2 linked regions of the Drosophila melanogaster genome follow. The protein of the gene in region 2 purifies or fractionates together with the protein of the main gene of each other region. This does not show direct contact. Each region holds a gene or a part of one and is shown on either strand. Other genes may lie near its edges.

Region 1 (9,199 bases), on a different chromosome or scaffold from region 2:
GGTGGTGGACACGTGGACGAATGCCTTCAGCTTGGGCCACTCCAGGGCCAACTTGACCAGCTCGTGGGTGCCACGGGTGTTCAGTAGTATGGCCGTGCTCAGGGCATCATCGAAGCTAAAAGATGATGTATTATTGATTTGTATATCCTAACCTGGATCGTATATATGTACATATGTACTCACCGCACACTGGCCGCCGAATGATAGACAATGTTGACATTGCGCAGCCGCTCAAGATCCGCGCTGCCAATGCCCAGGCCCAGCTGCTCCACATCCCCGGCTATGGCCACCAGTTTGGAGCGGGCATTGGGCTGTTCTCTGCGCAGCCGTTCATACAACCTCGATTCCCACTGCAGCTGCAGGCGCTCCTCAATTGTGTGGCCCTTCTTGGGCCGCATCAGCACATAGATGCGGCCCAGTTTTGGACAGGAGCGCAGCAGCTTTTCGATCAGTGCTTTGCCCACGAATCCTGCACAGAGATACCAATACATTCTCTTTAAATCTTTATTCTGCAAAGGCAGTCATAAATACCCACCGGAGGCGCCGGTCACGAATATTTCCTGATCCTCGAAAGCTTCCGGTATGGTCATGGTGGTTCGGTTGTTGGTCTCCCGGGTTTTCGATGTCGTATATCAATCCGCACGTGTCGCTGCTCCAAGTGCTTCTGTGCGAAGTACGGCGGACTCAAGGCGGGAATATTGAAATCCGGCCAATCGCGCTGCTGACCCTTGGCCAAAAGGGATCACATCGCTGAATATTCAGTTGGTAGGCTCATACTTTGTAAGCGTAGAGTGCGATACCCTGTAGATAGTGGGGAAGCAACACATCGCATCATATTCACATAGAAACCGCAGGTATGACCAATCTTAGTCCTAGAATACTATTTTATACTACATATTTCTATATTTTTATTGCTTTACTCTTAATTTGTGATGTTTTTAATGAGACCTACTAATTATTCGAACATTTGGGCATACGAATATCGAAAAAAAACACTAACTACATATGTATTTATGTATGTATTACATATGTATGTATATTTAAACCGCTCAAGGTGCTACGAAATCCGTTGTGAACAAAAAACAAAGGAGAACGTCTAGAACGCAAGAAGAAGAAGATGAACGAGATCAACAAAAACGGAACCGTTGAAACTCAAGAATCAAAGGAGAAAGCACAGAAAGATAACTTTTACCGTAGCATCCGAGCGCCAAATCAAGCAGAGCCCATAATTATACTGGCAGAAATGATATCGAAGTCGAACTAATATATAAGCAATATAATAAAAATGTATTTAAATAATATAATATCTATGTATATTTGTACGTGTAAGTCTATAAAGTAAGTCTATAAATCCCAATTCGCACCACTTTCTTTCCGGTGCACTGCATTGCCCGTGCGAGTCAGAGAAAGATGGAAAGATGGGTGCTCCTCCTCTTTGGCCGCATGAATGGAAAATGTTTGGGAAAAACCGGATAAACGGCGCTTGCAGCCGCTGCTTTTGGCCAAACTGGCGGATGAAACTATGCCAGCGATTTGTGTTAGCGTGTTTGCCTTATTATCTCGACTTTTATTTGGATCTTGGCCATTTAAAACGGCACTTTAATCGCATCATTAGCCCGCATGCGTGCGTGCGTGCGAGCGAGACAGCCGCTTGTCGTCGCAGCCTTAGTTCGTCGACCTCGTGCCCTCTTCCTCTTCACCCTTTTCCGAAGCAACCGTTGCAGTAACGGTTGTTAGACAATACACATGTAGCAAATTGTTCGCTTGTTGTTGTTTCATTTCATCAGTTTTTCAGTTGCATTTTCACATTTTAATTAACATTTTCAGGCGTAAACTTATCAATCGATACGCATGCAATTAGAAAAGTGTACAAATAAAAAAAAAATACATATGTATGTATGCTTGTATGCTTGAATGTGTGTGAATATCGCACGCGAAACTGCAGCCAAGTGTGAGTGTGTGTGGGTTATTATTTTGCCGGCCGGCAAAAATGTGGAAGAGAGACAGACAAAAAGATGAGAGAGGAGAGGGCGAGGTTAGCAGCAGAGAGCGAGGAGAGCGGGAGAAAGAGAAGACAGATTTGATTTTCCTTTTTGTTTTCATATTTTTGTTTCACTTTGTTTATAATTACATCATAATTAAAAAATAATACATAAGGTTGCTGACGAATTGTACAAAACGCTAGTGTGTTGTTTGTGTTTTGCAATGTGTGTGTGTTCTTTTTGCGCTTTGGGAAATATCTTCTTTAAGTTCTTCTTTATCTTGATGTCCTTGTCATGCCGCGAATGTGTGTGTGTAAGCTTGTGGGTGTGCGTGTGTTGGGTGTTGTTGGTGTGTGTGTGGAATGGCAGAATATGCATTTTCGCTCATTTTCATTTTTTGTAGTTCTTGTTATATTAAAGGTTTACAAATAAAAAAAAAACAAAAAATACATAGTATATCATATCATATCTCATGTGGAATAAATTAATTATATTAATACGCTGGAACCACACAACATGCGCCCAAAACGATGATGATAATGATGATGGTGTGCAGGTGGTTCCGCTCTTTTCATCTTGTAGTTGGTGTTGTTGTTGATTTTGTTGTGCTGCACTCCAAACTTCCACCACTCGCACTTGCACTTTCGCTGCTGCTTCCTCGACTTCTCCTCCTCCTCCTCCAGCAGAATCAAGACCATCCCGATCCTGATCCTCTTGCCCAGACAAGCGATCCTTCTTAGAAGCACTTGCGGTGCACAATGGAGGGGCCGGACTCGTCGTACTCCTGCTTGGAGATCCACATCTGCTGGAAGGTGGACAGCGAAGCCAGGATGGAGCCACCGATCCAGACAGAGTACTTGCGCTCTGGCGGGGCAATGATCTTGATCTTCATGGTCGACGGTGCCAGGGCGGTGATCTCCTTCTGCATACGGTCGGCGATGCCAGGGTACATGGTGGTGCCACCGGACAGCACGGTGTTGGCATACAGATCCTTACGGATATCCACATCACACTTCATGATGGAGTTGTAGGTGGTCTCGTGGATGCCGCAAGCCTCCATTCCCAAGAACGAGGGCTGGAACAGGGCCTCGGGGCAGCGGAAACGCTCGTTGCCGATGGTGATCACCTGTCCGTCGGGCAGCTCGTAGGACTTCTCCAACGAGGAGCTGCTGGCAGCGGTGGCCATCTCCTGCTCAAAGTCGAGGGCAACATAGCACAGCTTCTCCTTGATGTCACGGACGATTTCACGCTCAGCGGTGGTGGTGAAAGAGTAACCGCGCTCGGTCAGGATCTTCATCAGGTAGTCGGTCAAATCGCGACCAGCCAGATCCAGACGCAGGATGGCATGGGGAAGGGCATAACCCTCGTAGATGGGCACGGTGTGGGAGACACCATCGCCGGAGTCCAGAACGATACCGGTGGTACGACCGGAGGCGTACAGCGAGAGCACAGCCTGGATGGCCACATACATGGCGGGTGTGTTGAAGGTCTCGAACATGATCTGGGTCATCTTCTCACGGTTGGCCTTGGGGTTCAGCGGGGCCTCGGTCAGCAGCACGGGGTGCTCCTCGGGTGCCACACGCAGCTCATTGTAGAAGGTGTGGTGCCAGATCTTCTCCATATCGTCCCAGTTGGTCACGATACCGTGCTCAATGGGGTACTTCAGGGTGAGGATACCACGCTTGCTCTGCGCCTCATCACCCACGTACGAGTCCTTCTGGCCCATGCCGACCATCACACCCTGGTGACGGGGACGTCCCACAATCGATGGGAAGACGGCGCGGGGAGCATCGTCTCCGGCAAATCCGGCCTTGCACATGCCAGAGCCGTTGTCGACAACCAGAGCAGCAACTTCTTCGTCACACATTTTGTAAGCTGCAATGGAAAGAATGCGGATTTCCCATTAGTTTTTGGTTACCTTATTTGGTAATGTAGAAATGGCAAAAAAAAAACTGAGAATTTGCGTGGTTTCCTTGGACTGCGCTGGTCTACCAAAGTACAATTGTCATAACAAACTAACTTGTTTTTCGTGTACAATTAAAAATCACTCAATGCAATGTACGTTTTTTTAGTACAAAATTTTAATCTTGGACAAAAAAAATTTCATAAAAAAATACTTTTCCGATTGAAAACTGATTTTCACTTGCGATCGAATTGTAATAAGAAATTAAAAGAACAGTTACAAAATAGAAGGCCCCGCCCCGAAAAATTAAAACCACAATACGAATATGCCGAAAAGGGAGGGGAGAAGCTTCTAGACGACACTTAACGAATGCCGGTGCAAAAGAAAGCCGCAAAGAGAGCACAGTTGCCTGTGTGTATGCGCCCTTAAAATGGCGGCTGCCTAAAACTCGAATTGGAACCCGAAATTAACATTACAAAATAAAAAAAAAAAAAAACACTAAACGCACTCTAGAAAATTTAACAATTAAGAGCCACGAAACTTTTCAAAGCTAGTTAAACTTTACCTTTTTGTTCGATTTAACAAATTCAAGGCGTGAAAACTACTGTAAACGCAAGTGGCGAGGCTGAGCTAAGCGACCGCACGGTTTGAAAGGAATGACTGGAATAAACCGACTGAAAGTGGCTGGTGAATGTTGAATGCCAGTTAACTGCGTTTTTCAATCGCTGCCTGCGTCGACGTCGCCATAGGCGTCGCTCGCTCTCGCCATCTCGCTCGCTCCGCGCCATGGTCGCTATGGGTGCGAAGGAGAGCGCTGGTGTGTTGAATTGCGGCGGCCAAGTTTTGTGACCATATATGGTCATGTTTCGAGGCGAAAAGCAAACCGTCGTCTGGCTTTCGCTCTCTCACACACACATACACTCTCTCTCGTTATTTTGCGCGTGAGTGTGTGTATATGAACGAATGCTCGAAGGTTTTCTCCATTTTTGCAACTACAACTTTGAAAAACCGGCAAAAATTTCTGCTTCAGCCAAAACGGCTGCCTACGTCACTATTTTCAAGAACCTGATCTAGTTTTACAGATTATAATATGCATATACTGTATGTATGTACATTTATGGATGATCTGGTGTTTTAGGGCGTGGGAAAAAAAGAAAGTGTTGGCGAATTGATTTGCAATTCGTAATTTGGCATATCTTTGGGTGAAATCGTGACACGCCCACATCAGCGAGCTTGGCTTTAAACACTATATTAGATCCTAACATTTGAGTTGGGGCTATTGAATTGCTTTGGTTTTTATAATTTCGTATAATTTGTATGTATATATCCTGAAATCTGCAGTTGTAATCCTGATTCTTGAGTTATGGTATTTGAAACCCTGGTTTTGTTAATTTTGATGTCTTTCGACCTATTGGTATTTTGATTGACAATTTAGGGCCAAACTTGGGTATTTTTGGAGTTTTGGTCAATACAATAACTCTTTAGCTCGTGGCTAGTATTTTTTGATCACTTTCAGCACTGGCACATAAAAAAATGTTTTGTTTACAAAAAAAATCACACATTTTCCGCGGCTTTTCTCGATTATTGCTTTTTCTTGGTGGGAGTGGTTCGATGGTGTTTTGTTGTTGGGAAGGGGAAAGCTACTTACATTTGGTGTGTTTTATTAAAATTAATTAAATAAATATAAATTAAGTCTTTCGGTTTGGTGTCTCTGGATTAGACGACTGCTGGCTGATGGAGCGGCTTTGTGTCGGGAGGAGTATCCACACAGCACAAGAACTCAAACGGTAGTGATATGAAAACTGGTCCCGCAGCCCGTTTTATAAAGCCCGCTTAGCGCTAAAACCTTATCAGCCGCAATGCTCTCCGCTCTCAAGTCGCGTTCAAAACTTTTACCATATATGGGTATGAATTGTTCGCCGATTGGGTTTTCATTTACGGAGAATTTCCTCCGCAACTGGGTGTTCGTGCTTGTGTGTGTCTTGTATATCGCCATGAAGAGTGTACTTCCATGGGTCCTATCAGTTGCGGCATGTGATTCAATTTGGGGGTTACTCATATTCGATACTTCAGCTGGTTATCTTTATGCTGTGATGGTCACGGTGCTTTTACACATTTTTTCCCCAACTACTCATTGTATGCCAAAACATACATATGTACATGTGTTTATAGTGGGTTTATTAGTAATGTCCAGCGATATTAAAACATTACAGTTAAATAATATTCATATTAGCTTACGTTTACTGCTATCTGCACTTCAAATTGGTTATTCCAGGGACATTTTGTGCAACACACATCTTCTAGTAGGGCATTCACTAGTCGTAGAAAACACACCTAACTTAAGCCGGTTTTAACAATAACGGCGAAACAGCTGCCAGACGAGAGAAAAGTACACAGCAAGAAGCATTTCTATAATGATGCCGTCCTAAATATGCAGCATTTTTGCTCAAATTGATCATTTCGTTGCATCGCTCAGGTGGTATAGTATTTGGCTATTGAATGTGATTGCTATCTTAATAGTTTTGAATAGTAATAGTGCAAATATTCATTCATAAAAAATAGGTAATCGATTTTTTCAGTGCAGTCTATGCGTTTGCGCAACAGAGACGAAGAGAGAGACGCCTCACACACAAGCACATGCGGTCTAAGCTGCTCTCCCTCTTTTTCTCTCTCTCTCTGGCTTGCGGCAGTTTTCCAGAGGCTGTGACTCAGTAAGCATTTCTTGTTGTTACCCTAACGATAAGCGTCCGATTCCTAATTCTCTTTCAAATAATTTGTTTTATTTTTTTTTTTGTGTGTTTTGAAGTCAAACAGCTTCATAAACAATATTAAATATCGCAATTGTTATTGCAAATGCATTCGTATCAGGCGCCTTGATGTTTTTCGCCAAAACTTCGTCTGCTCTTTGTCAGCGTAATTGCGTTTGCCGGTCGTGCCGTCTTGCTCGCACGCGGCTTGCAAACAAAAAGTGAAAGAGGGAAAGCCACCTGTGTTGTTGCTTTTGTTGCTATCGTTGGCTGCACACACATGGCAATAAGTAACCATATTGTAGACTTATTTATTTTAGCGTTTTCGTTGACTAATCTTTGTTTAAATAATTGCCTATTTCGAGCCAAAATGACGCATAAAAGGAAACGGCAACATGCGGTGCGTTGAGCATGCGTAAGCGAGATGGCGCTAGAGAGAGCGCAGCATAAAAAGAAAAAAACAACCGGCGAGTGGCGAGACACGAATAATACACACACGCACACATGGTCAAAGGAGTGGCTCCAACGTCGGTGACGTCGCGCCCAGCCACAGACCCCGCCACGCCCCGCCCCACCCTTCCTTCCGCTGCCCCGCACCCCTTTCCTTCCACTACCGTTTTGCCGCATTTGGTATTGCCATCTCGCTTTTTTGGCTTTACTTTGCTTTTTGAATAAGCCAAGAAACTGAAATCAAAGCGGACAGTCCGAAAATTGAATATTCCAAAAAACAACAATTGCACATGCACTGCGTTCGGCAAAAGACGCAGAAATTCAAGCCTTTTGGTCTGGCATCATCTTAAAATATCATCAGTATCATCATTGCCATTATAAATACATAAGAAAATGAGAATACATTAAAGGTATTTATTTTACAAACGCTTTACTTTATAAAAATACAACTATTATCGGAAAGCAATGCAAAATATGCCACTTAATTCCAGTTCTTTGTCATAGTCAACATATTTTGCAACAAAATTATCTATAGATAACATGTTTTTGTAGAAAATTCCACTAACTGATTTTCGTATAAATACAAATTATTCTCATTCTTCAAAATACTCGCCGACGTCATCGCGAAATTCCTCAGCATTCTTCGACAAATGAAGAGAGACAGCGAGTGACACAATCTTATCTTGCCGACGAGTCTTTGAAAATGGCCCCGGGTAACGGTGAAAAACATATAGCCAAGAATGGAGCGATCGCCAGGCGATGGAAATTGGCTTCAAATTGCTCCGAATATGGCCAGTTGGTCAGTTGGCATTGGATTGTGGAGAGATACTAGATCAGCTCGTTCTCCTTCTCCTCCGCATTCTCCTACTCCGCCCGAAGACGCTTCTTTGATCGCTTCTTTCTCGAATGTGTACATATTCATTATGTATTTGGTGTTTGGCGACGATCAGCCAGCTTTAATGGCCATAAAACGTGTCTTGGTTTGTGGGCCACATAACAGGCAGCGAGATCTGGAAAAATGATGTGACAGTGGAAATGAGAAGTAGGTGCATCTGCAAAGATTTGATTCAGAGTTGATGCCATTCATGGAAAGAGTCATTTATGAATATGATTTTTTTTTAGAAGTATCATTTGTGTTTTTAGAATATAGAATTCTATGGAACATTCTTTGGAACAAAATCATAACCTTTTTTTTGGCTCTATTTGCTTCTCTCAAGTTCGTTGCTCGATCGTTTGTTTTTTGTTTTTTTTTTTTTTTGGCAAGGCGATGAAAAAACTCGCAGAAATTTCCCCGGGCCAATGGCTTCGGTTTTCGGCACTTTTAACCTTGCGCCACTGAATTCAAGAAAAAAAAGCTGTTTTTGAAGGGAAACAGTTCGAAAAAGCGCTGGAATCCGACGGAGGGACGGCGGTGAGGGGTATCGAAACTAGAAATACTGAAATGGCCAAAAACAGCGCGTTGATGTTGACTTTGAGACCGCTATTAAGCGAAAAGCAACAACATTTAGCCATGATCAACGACCTTTCTCCAAAAGTACGTAACTCGTCACGTTTTCTACGCTCACACACGTCAAGCGAAGTAAATGAAATAAACAAGTTGAGCGACTTGGGCCAAAGCCATTGTCAAGGTCATTGAATGTGAAAATTTTCGTAAATTTTTCGCATTTCATTTGGTTTTCTTCCATTTCCATTATTTTTCGTGCACGCACCGCCAGGGTTGCCACCCCACCCCTTTTCGCGTTATTTTTATAACTATGTACATACATATGTATGTATGTTTGTTTCACATTTCAACAGCTGGCATTGCAGTTAACCGCTTTTGGCTATCTTCAAGTTGCAAATACATTTTCACTCCAGCGTTTTTGGCCATTTCGGCATCGCAACGCAATTGGAAAAATTAAATACAGCCATTAATTGCTTGTCTTAATTAGTTTGCGTGCACAAACACGTTGGAAAAGTGCGGTGGTGGAAGGAAGGGAGGGAGGTAGGTAGAGGGGATGTACGTAAGTTTTGATCGTGCGTTTGCAGTCGGGGGAGTTAAGCACCCGAAAACCAAGGCCATGGACGGTTAGTTTGGCTAAAAAGGCGAAAAAACGTTTGAAGAAATCTCGAAATCT
Region 2 (10,224 bases):
GATCATACGATGGAACTCCTGGAAATTAAAACGTTGTCACACAATCCCCTTGTTTTTAAAGAAAATTTACAGACCGTCATAGCAGATGGAAAAAGTGGTTTCACTGTGACAAGCGACATTGCTATCACTTTGACACACATTGCACGTGGCCGCCAAATATCGAATCGAAAGCTTAAGTTTATTAAAAAGTGATTATTAGCCCGAAGTGCGCACAGTTTGTAGTAGTTACCAGTAGAACAAGCGCCTTTAGCCACATCTTTTTTGTCTCCAGTCGCCTTTCAATCTAAAATACTGGGGACAAACGGATCACCTTATATGTATCTTTGGTTATCTTTAGAGACTTGCCGAAAAAGTGAGATATTTTCTGTATGTTTGCTTAGTTTTATTGCGGTGTTAGGCTTTGCGTCAATAAATAGTACAAGGCTACAAGTAATTTATAAAAATATATTCACAAATTGAAGGCGCGTTCGTTAGCTGATAGCAGAGTACGAGTGTGGTTTACAACATATCTAGGAATACATAGAGTCGAGTCGAGTTAACAAAACACCAAATGAACGGATATAAATACTATTTTTAAATATCTTGTCTTATCTGCGAAAAAGAAAGCCTTTCGCTTAGGACGTACATTGAGGCCGGTACAGCTAATATTTAACATATTTTTTTATAGTTTTGTGTATATAGGGGTGTATACTGGATAGTTATATGTTCGCATAGTTGTCGCGTAGTCTTGTGGAGTTTTTAGATTGCATAAATAGGTACAAACTATAGTATGTACTATGTACTAGTCTAATTGTAAAATATTTCTTAAGGCAAATCATAGCGGTTTAAGCAGCACTTCACACTTACATATGTAACTTGCTTAAGGCAACATCGATGTTCTAATGCGTTTAAAAATAAATTCGTTAATTTCTAAAACGAAATAATACTTCGTCAGCAAATGCATTATGTTCGAGTTCACGTTGTGGACGTATACTGTTCGAATGATCTAGACGCAGCCGTACTCATACCAGATGCTATTGCTCTTGTCTTCGGTCCGCTTCCTTGCCGACTTGTCATCCTGCATGGTCGTTCCCGAGACGCTGCCGCTGGCCTGCAGCAGAGGGCTCTGGTCCCCGCTGTTCGAGGCTCCTCCGATCGTGGTGTTTATTCGGTTGTACATGAGAAACGTAGCTGGGCCCACCGGGGCATTGTTTTCGGTACTCTTCTGAGGCGTCTGAGGTTCTGCGGGTGTAGGAGGTGCGGCGTTGACGGAGCCACTGCCGCCAACAGACTGTGACTGTGTGGCGCCGGGAGTAGAGCCATCGGGAAGCTTTTGGTGCTCATCGATAAGATAAACGGTGCGTCTGGAACCGGCCGTTCCGAGAGTCAGACTGCTGCCCGTCACGTCTGGCGCTTCAAGACTGCTGCGAAGCAAATGATTTATCAGTAACTAGATGAATGCACTTTTTTAAACACAGGTGGGGAGCGACAACGAAGGGAAATACGCATTGTGCAAGGGGAAAGATGGAATAAGGATTAATAGTGGTCAATTGAAGCCTCGAAACAGACTTCGATCTGTTTCAATTGGCAAGTTTTAATGGGGTAGAATGAATGTTAAACATCAAAAGCGCATACCCGTGCACGCTATTTCTACGTGAGTTATTCAAATCCGTACGTTTCTGAGCCTGCAGGCTACTGCGCACGGCACCGCCGCGTTGGATCGAGTTATCCAGCAAATCCCTACTCCGACATAATGTACAGTGTTTGTTTGGTGCGAATGTCGAGTTGTGTATAATACATGTAAAAAGAACAAATACCGTGAACCCAAAAATCTAAAAAAAACATCAATTTCCAACCCAACTGAATGGCTTACCGCTGCAGACTCTGGCGGAGCGGGACATTCCTCTGGAGCAGGTGCGTGTCGGAGGCAATGGACAGTGGCTCCTCATTGCTATTATCCGACTCATTGCCGCCTGACTCGGAACCGATCACGAACTGGGAATTGGTACGGGCGTCATCTACCCAAGATCGACGGTTCTGAAAAAAAAAAAATATTTTTATGTTAAGTTTCTTTACATCTAGTTGTGAGTAAACTTACTCGACTGGGCACCTTGTTCATTAGATCCGAGCTAGCCTTCTTCACTCTTCTAACCAGCATGCTGGCAAATGGTTTTCTGAAATTTACAGTGATTGGCTTAATAACAAATATATTTTTGTATGGTTATATTATTTACTTCTTGTGCACTGTGGTTTCTGACTTCTTGTAATGCTCCATAATTTTCTCCTCCAGTTTTTCCTTCTGCCGCTTGAGGCTGTGCACCCGTTCGGTGTAGTTCTTCTCCTCCTCATGGAAGTGCTTTTTGTCCTCCAGGGATATGGCCAATAGTTCCTGATATTGAGAGAGCAATTGGGACACGTTGTCCATCAGAGCCTTGCGCTCCGAGTCCAGTTCAGCATTGTTTTGTATCAACATCTGTATGCAAAAAGAATATTAATAGAATATTATATCTTGACACTTTTTAACTCACCTCACAACGCTGCTGAACCTTGCTATACTCCATCTGTAGGCAACGGACCTGATCGCTCTTAGCATTTAGCTCGCCGGAGAGTTCTGTGTTTTGTAGCTTAAGGCTGGAGTGCTCCATGCGTACCATCTTGTACTGCTCCTGGATGTTTTTGTATTCGTTCTTGAAGCGATCGCTGGTGGCGAACAGATTGCGGAAGTCGTCTGTCAGTTTGGAGTGCTCCGTACGCAGGATTGACAGATCCTCGCTGCATGTTTTCATGTTGCTGTTCTGAATAGTCAACTCCTCAATGCGTTGCTCCAATGCCGACTGCTGTTCACGGGTATCTCGCAGCTCCTGACGCAAGTCCCGCACTGCAGCCTTTAGCTGCTCCTTGTCCTTGTTCAGAGACTCGTACTCCGCGGAGAGTTGATCATGCAGGCATTGCAACGTAACCTGATCCTGCAAAGCATGCTTGTGCTCCTGCTGCAGTGAATCGATCTCTTTGAGCAGCGAATCTTTTTCGGCAGCCAACTGGGAGTTTGCCAGCTGTAGGGCTACATGCTGGGTGTTCAGCGAAGTTATTTGCGAGCCCAGCGCAGCCACGTCCACGCTGAGCCGAGCATTCTCAGTCTGAAGCTGAGTGTTGGAATCCTTAATACGGGTCAGCTCTGCTGATTCTCGTGCTGGACTTAGACGTACCTTGTGTTCGAAGCGAAGTTCCTGCGAAGATGGTTGCGCTGGTGCAGGAGCTGGAGTAGCCGCGAGTTCAATGTTCTTTTCCACCGTAAAGATCTCCTGACGGTGGCATAGCACACACATGTCGGACTTGACGCCACCTTCTCGTTCCTCCTCCTCCAGCTGCTCTCGGGTCACGTTTAGCATTATCTCGCGAACCGTTTTAAAAGTCTCCGGGTTGCGCACCAACTTCTCCACCACATGCTCCACATTGAGCTCACCGGGCTCTTCGTCCGCCAATCCTAGTTTCTCCAAGTTGTTTCGCACTTTCTTCGTTACGAGAGTACCAGTCACCAAGTCGTTTCGAAGAGTACTTATCATCTCTTGATCAATGATGCGCTGTGAAGCTAGCTCTTGGTTTTGCTTCTCCAGTTCCACAAGCTTTTGATGCACTTGCTCCGAATCCTCAAGTGCTTTGCCCAGCTTTTGTAGTTCTTTGCTCTGGACATCGAGCCGATTAATACTGTCATCCAGCTGCACAGACTTTTGCTCGCTGCCCTCCTTGAGTTTGGACACTTCCTTGAGCAGGCTGGCGTTTTCGCGTTCGTACGTGGAGACCCTTGCTTCGATCTCATAGAGCTTCTGTTTAGTAAGCTCGTATTGCCTTGATTTTTCCAGGTATTGCTCTAGTTCCTTTGTCTTGCTCTCCGCCAACCGTTCAAGATCGTCGGCTCTTCGCTGAATGCTTTCGTTCAGGGTTTGGATACGTTGCTTTTCTTTGTTTAAGGTTTCGACATGCTGCTCGGCATCAGAAAGCTTTTGACGGTCAGCTTCGCGTTCCAGGCTCTGTCGATCGTAGCTTTTTTGGCGATTATCCACGGCATCCTGTAACTTTTTGTTCTCCTCCAGGGCATTTTTAAAGACCCCTTCCAGTTCGACATTCTGCTGAGTCAGACGATTGATGTTTTCTTGCATCTGTTCGATTTTTAGAGACAGCTTTTTCTTCTCCTTTTCCAGTTCTAGCATCTTGCTGGTGGATTCGTGGAAGCTACTCTCTTTTAATTGTTCCAGAGCGGCGGTCAAACGACGGTTCTCCAGCTCGAGCTTGAGTGCACGGGTCTGAGCATTGTTCGTTAGCTGTTCCGAAAGACTATTGTCGCCTGAGTTGCAATCGTCTTCGTTTTCGGAAAAGGATTTATCCAAATCCATCGTGGAGTTGAGATTCCTGGCTACCAGTTGCAGTTGCGAGTTCTCCTCCAGCAACTCTTCTAGCTTGGAGCGATCCACGTCCCGTTCGAGAGCCATGTCGTTTATCTTCTGTTTGTATTTAATAATCTCGGATTCCAGAGAGATGGCATGCTCAGACCTTTTTCGGTAACGCTGCAACTGCTCCTCCAGCATTTCCCTGAGAAGGTGGAAGGGTATTATAGGTTAGAAAACATTCAATGGTATTTTGTTTGGCTCATATACTTGGATTCAAGCAGCACACGGTTATCCTCCCGCAGTTCCTCAACGCGGGATTTGTAAAAGTCGGAGTCTCCGAGTTTCTCGCGGTACTTCTGAACTTCCACCTCCAGGCGATCAGCTCTTTCAGCCCGTTCCCGGAGGATGTCCACCTCGTCACGATATGCAGATGCCCGCTTGGCCTCCGTAAACCATTCTTGGCTTTCCTGGCGCAGCTTGTCAAAGCGAGCCTTCTTGTCATCCAACTCCTCACGTAGCTCCAAAAGATTCTCGGACTTTTCCTCGCTTAAAGAAAGGAAAAGGTGTATGAATAATTATTGGATAAGTAAATAATAGCTTGTCTTACAGTTCCTGACGCAGCTTGCGGTTCTTCGAACGCAGATCGGCACATTCTACGGCAAGGTGATTGCTTTCCGAATTGGAAGAAGATGAAGGTGTCGAGGTGGCAGTTCCGTTCGAAGGGGAACGTGTAACGCTGACACCTTGGCCACATTCCACCAAATTATCGCTGGCTGTCATTTCGGTCTCTACGCACGCCAAATCGATCCACTTGAGATACATGACGTCCCGCTCCTTGGTCAGGCGCAAAATGTGCGTGTACATGCTCTGCGGCGTAAGTCGCTCCAAGGAGTCCTCGGTGAGCACCAAACTATGGCTGTCGGTCACTTGTTTGATCAGTCCAACAATAGCGTGTTGCGTTTCTAAGTCCAGCTCCTTGATGCGAGCAATAAATAGCTCCTTGTTGGGACATTGCACAGCTGCGCCGAGCAACAGGGTCAGCAAGGTCTTCATCTGTTCGAGCCCGTTCTTACTCTCCGGATGATGACCCAGGGTGAAGGCATCGGGTAGGACCAGTATGGTTTGACCAAGCTCCTCCTCAAAGAAAGACTTTAGATTCCTCACGACGCACTCGAAGTTCTTGGCCCTCGCAATGCTGAGAGATTTCCCGTTAAGATCGTTCAGCTCGCTGGGATTATTTTGCGGCTCGGGGTCGATTTGCAGCCAGACGCTGTGAATTATGTGGCCATCCAGCAGGGAGGTGTATCCGGCGAGAAGCTCGGCACGTGGCAGACATGATTCCAGCTGTAAAGGAAGAAAATACCAGTTTTAGATACGGAATCCAACAAAGCGAGCGCGAATATGTTTATTAGCTGGACAAGAGCTCATTACGCTCCTCCTCCATTCTTATTGTACCGCTAGCAGTCTTGAGCAAGTTACAATGACCTTGGTTCTTTGGCGACAAACAGTTTGGGTCAAAAAAATAAGAGCTCGAAGTGGAGTATGATACATATGATTGATATGATTATAAATTAATACGATACACCTGCTTTCGTCGTAACGGAATTAATTTAACGAAGCTAAGGCTTTGGATATATAAAATTATTCGTTTTTTGGAGTTTCCCTGTAACGTATGATTCTATTTCGTTGACCTCAGCTGTGTGTGTGTAAGCAGGTTGTTCTCACGACTTTGTTGTTGTTTTCGCCTTTTCCATTTGCGAGCGCTTGGCAATCGAACACTTGAATTATTTATGCCAAGCACATAGGCCCACTGGCGATGCAAATGTCGATCATGTTTATCCATAACGCCCGCAGTACTCTACTCACCCAAGAAATTATGGACGAATTAACAAACTCATCAATTTCCATTGGCGTCGCGGTCGCAGTGCCAGCCATTGTTTGTGTTGTTATTGTTATTGGACGGACGGGCGGAATAGGTAAGTGCAGGTATGTATGAGTGTGTGAGTTTGTGCCGCTGCACCTGTCGCAAAGGAACAGCTGCGGCTCCTCCAAACTGTGATGCTGGGCGAGATAGTTTCTATTTTTTCAAGAAGTAAAGTCCAACAACAGCCTCCCGAAATTTATGCCAAGGACGGGGCATTTTCACATTGCACATGCAGGCAAGTCGCAAGATCACAGTTTGTAACAACACTAAAATACGTTGGAGAGCACTTCGCGGATTAAATTGGCTTTAACAAACTAAGCAACAAGGAACACTACAAGGCAGCACTCTAAAAAATTAGCGAAATATTTTTGGGAAGACTGGACTGTTGGAAAAAAAGCATAATTTGTGCCGGTGATGACACTTCGCTAATGCTGCCAACTATCGAATGCGGTGGAGGGGTCTAGTGATGGAACTTTGCGACAAGTAGCTAACTAGCTAGAAATAGCTAAATTCCACAAATCACAGAGATAGTTAATTGACTTTGAATGATGCTAAAGCTTATCGAATGAATCGATGCTATCGTTGATGGTATCTAAATGCATTGTAAATGAGACTTATTTTACAATGTGATCAGCCTTGTTGTGGTTAATTAAGGGTTATCTGTCAAACGAAGTTCCTGAAAAGTAGCCAGAAAGAAGGTAGGTCACTTGCTAACCGATTGCAGCTCCTATCGATGTCGATAACTGCTGTCGAGCCCATCAGAATTCAAATTTGAAAGAGAGCAGAAAGCTTTCGTGGATCGGTGGATGAGGAGGAGGATGCTGGGCTGACGAACCGAACGGAACGGATTATTTAACGCGCCGCAAAAATGGCAACGCTTGCAAACAAAAGCCTGCGAACGCTACGAAAGTTACATTACTAGAAACTAACCGACCTGAAGTTGAAATAGTTGGAGTGCAAAGTGTTGTTATTGGCGATTCGAAAACGACGGGTTAAGTTAAGTTAATTTCGACTGTCTATATATAGATCCTCTGTATAGGCAAGCACAATATTGCAAATAGGTTAAATATCTAAATATCTCGAAATGGGAAATCAGCCGGGAAAGCTGCACACGCATCCACAAGGCGGTCGCCCCAAGAAGAATGTCCACTGGAAGTCCGCAGGCAAGTAGAAAAGTAGTAACTCCATATACCATCAGGGTCCCAGTCCCAGTACAATTCCTACCCGAATTTCAAGATATCAGAGGAGGCCCCACATAGCTGTCTGGCTGGTGGGAGCGCTAGAAATGGGTCTATTTTTAGCCACTCGCACACTCAGTGGTTGCCGTGTTCGTCTGTTTGGCCCCAAAATCTCGCAACGTCAAAGTAATGTTGTCGTTTGAGAAGCGGAAGAATCATTATGCTGAGATAGAATCTTTTGTAGGTGCATAATTTCTAAAGCCCTTTAAGGGCTACAATATGGAGCTGGGACAGGAAAGTCACCCACACCGTAATAACTTAGCAATGCAATCTTTGTGAATCGAAATTGATTCTCTAAAACTATGCAACTTATATTTAGGAATAAATCGTAGGTTATCTTAATTAAAAAATCAAATATTTCTCTATTTCCTTTAAAGTTTAACTTTTTTTCTCGCATCGTAGAAGATTTTTAGATCTTTTAATCCTTAAATTGCATTATATTTGTTTCCCAATCAGAGCGACCTTCTCCGCCTGGCCGACCCATCCTGACGCCAGTGGCACTACCGGAGCAGCAACCGGACGTGGTGAACCTGCGCTGGGATCGGCCACTCCACGATGGAGGTTCACCCATCACTGGCTATACGGTAGAGCACAGGCGCATGGGGTCACCCCACTGGGTGAGAGCCACGCCCACTCCCGTGGACCGCTGCGATGTGTGCATCAGTGGACTGGAGCCGGGATGGCGTTACCAGTTTCGTTGCTTTGCTGAGAACATTGTGGGGCGATCCGATGCCAGCGAGCTATCTGATCCGCTGACGGTGACGCTGCAGCGAAATGCCATAACCGTGCCCCGGTTCATCGACGAACTGGTGGACACGAATGCCGTGGAAGACGAGCGAATCGAGTTCCGCGTCCGCATTCTTGGCGAACCGCCGCCGGAGATTAACTGGTTCAAGGACGGCTACGAGATCTTCAGCAGTCGGCGCACAAAGATCGTCAACGACAACGAGGCCAGTGTCCTGGTGATCCACCAAGTGGCGCTGACCGACGAGGGCGAGATAAAATGCACGGCCACCAATCGAGCGGGACATGTGATTACCAAGGCAAGGTTGATGGTGCAGGCTCCTCCCAAGATCCGATTACCCCGCACCTACGAGGATGGACTGATTGTTGAGGCGGACGAAGTGTTGCGCCTTAAGGTTGGCGTGGCTGGACAGCCACCGCCCGCTATTACGTGGCTTCATGAGGGCGAGGTCATTGCTCCGGGTGGACGCTTTGAGGTGGGTCATCTTACCGGTCTTTTTTCACCCACTGCATAAGTAACTCGCTTCCCATTGCAGGTCTCCAACACGGAGAAGAACTCCCTGCTTAAGATCGACAATGTGCTTCGAGAAGATCGCGGCGAGTATATGGTGAAAGCTTGGAATCGATTGGGTGAGGACAGTACCTCCTTTTTGGTTACAGTGACAGCCAGGCCCAATCCACCGGGTACTCCCAAGCTGAATATGTCCTTTGGCAAGTCCGCCACTCTTTCCTGGACGGCTCCACTCGACGACGGAGGCTGTAAGATTGGCAACTACATAGTTGAATATTTCCGAGTGGGCTGGAACGTCTGGCTGAAGGCGGCCACCACTCGGGCACTGAGCACCACACTTCACGATCTGATAGAGGGTTCCGAGTACAAATTTCGTGTAAAGGCAGAAAATCCATATGGCCTGAGCGAACCGTCGGGTGAATCGGAGCTGCTCTTCATCCCGGATCCCAAGCGGGGAATCACCAAACCGAAATCAGCTACAAGGATAGCCGGAGATGAGAAGGACAAGCCCAAGACAGGAGCTGGAGGGATGCAGGTGCCACCGCGCAGGAAGACTTTATCTCCTCCACGGCCTCAAGCAGATGCCTCCACGGGCATGTCACCCAAACAGTCGCCCAGTGCGAAGCGGAAGCCGAAGCCTCAGCTCATAGACAACGAGCAACTGACCCACGAAATGTCCTACGGAACTTCGGATCATGCTCTAAAGATGGACGTGCGCAAGAGTCCTTCGCTTAATAGCGCCGATTCGGCTAATAAACCCACGACAGATAGTTCCAATCCAAAGCTTAACCTCACCCTGGTGACCACAACACTGGCACCGCTGGACAAGTCTGTACCATCCCCCAAGGCACCAAGGACTCCAGCTACATCTCCCTTGAAACTTTTCAATCCGAAACCCTCTGGAGCCCCTAAAGATAGGTCACCAGTGCAGCCAAAGCCACAGCCATTGCCTACTCCACCCATGGAAACGCCGGATAAGGCATCACCCAACCCGAAGAGAAGCTTAAGTCCACCCAACAAGAGACAACCACCGCCTCTTCGCAAGAGTCCCACGCCTCCGGAACCTATAAAGGTTACCCCAGCTCTGTTGAGGAGTGCGGAGCCCGTTCAACTGGGAGTCAACCAGAATGTAAGGCGATTCTCTGGACAAACCCTAAGCCCGGCCAGAAATGTGCCAACTCTGGCGTTGGCAGTGGCTTCCGGTGTGTCAGCTGTAATTGGCGAGAAGCTGCCCACTATCGAAATAAGTGCTCCACCAACGCCCCAGGAGGAAGAGCCTCCAGTACTGGAGCGCAGTCCGTCTCCAGAACCAGCTCCAAAGTCCCAGTCCAACGCAAGGCGGTTCTCCAGGTCAGCCGACAAACACGACGACGTCCACACAAGCAATGAGTTTATGCTGGTCGTTTTCGACAAGAATAGCAAGGTCAAGGATAAGGACAGTAA

What was found.
Region 1: the proteins of Girdin (region 2) and Act5C purify together in Drosophila melanogaster (affinity purification with western blotting, with the first as the bait; one study listed by BioGRID). This does not show direct contact.

Annotation. Positions count from the first base shown.
Region 1 is NC_004354.4:5,897,348-5,906,546, reverse strand, and holds Act5C (actin 5C), read right to left. Parts: upstream 5,687-9,199; 5' UTR 5,534-5,686; intron 4,566-5,533; exon of another isoform or gene 4,451-4,565; intron 3,858-4,450; 5' UTR 3,850-3,857; coding exon 2,719-3,849; 3' UTR 1,148-2,718; downstream 1-1,147. Other genes in the region: CG4020 (uncharacterized protein), read right to left, coding at 1-115, 184-469, 536-590. UniProt on the Drosophila melanogaster protein: Actins are highly conserved proteins that are involved in various types of cell motility and are ubiquitously expressed in all eukaryotic cells.
Region 2 is NT_037436.4:3,175,428-3,185,651, reverse strand, and holds Girdin (girdin), read right to left. Parts: upstream 6,723-10,224; 5' UTR 6,300-6,722; coding exon 6,231-6,299; intron 5,709-6,230; coding exon 4,972-5,708; intron 4,911-4,971; coding exon 4,632-4,910; intron 4,567-4,631; coding exon 2,508-4,566; intron 2,453-2,507; coding exon 2,214-2,452; intron 2,154-2,213; coding exon 2,078-2,153; intron 2,017-2,077; coding exon 1,853-2,016; intron 1,720-1,852; coding exon 1,615-1,719; intron 1,404-1,614; coding exon 986-1,403; 3' UTR 365-985; downstream 1-364. Other genes in the region: CG42494 (uncharacterized protein), read right to left, coding at 1-18, 75-171, 230-256; MnM (myomesin and myosin binding protein), read left to right, coding at 7,373-7,451, 7,983-8,746, 8,807-10,220.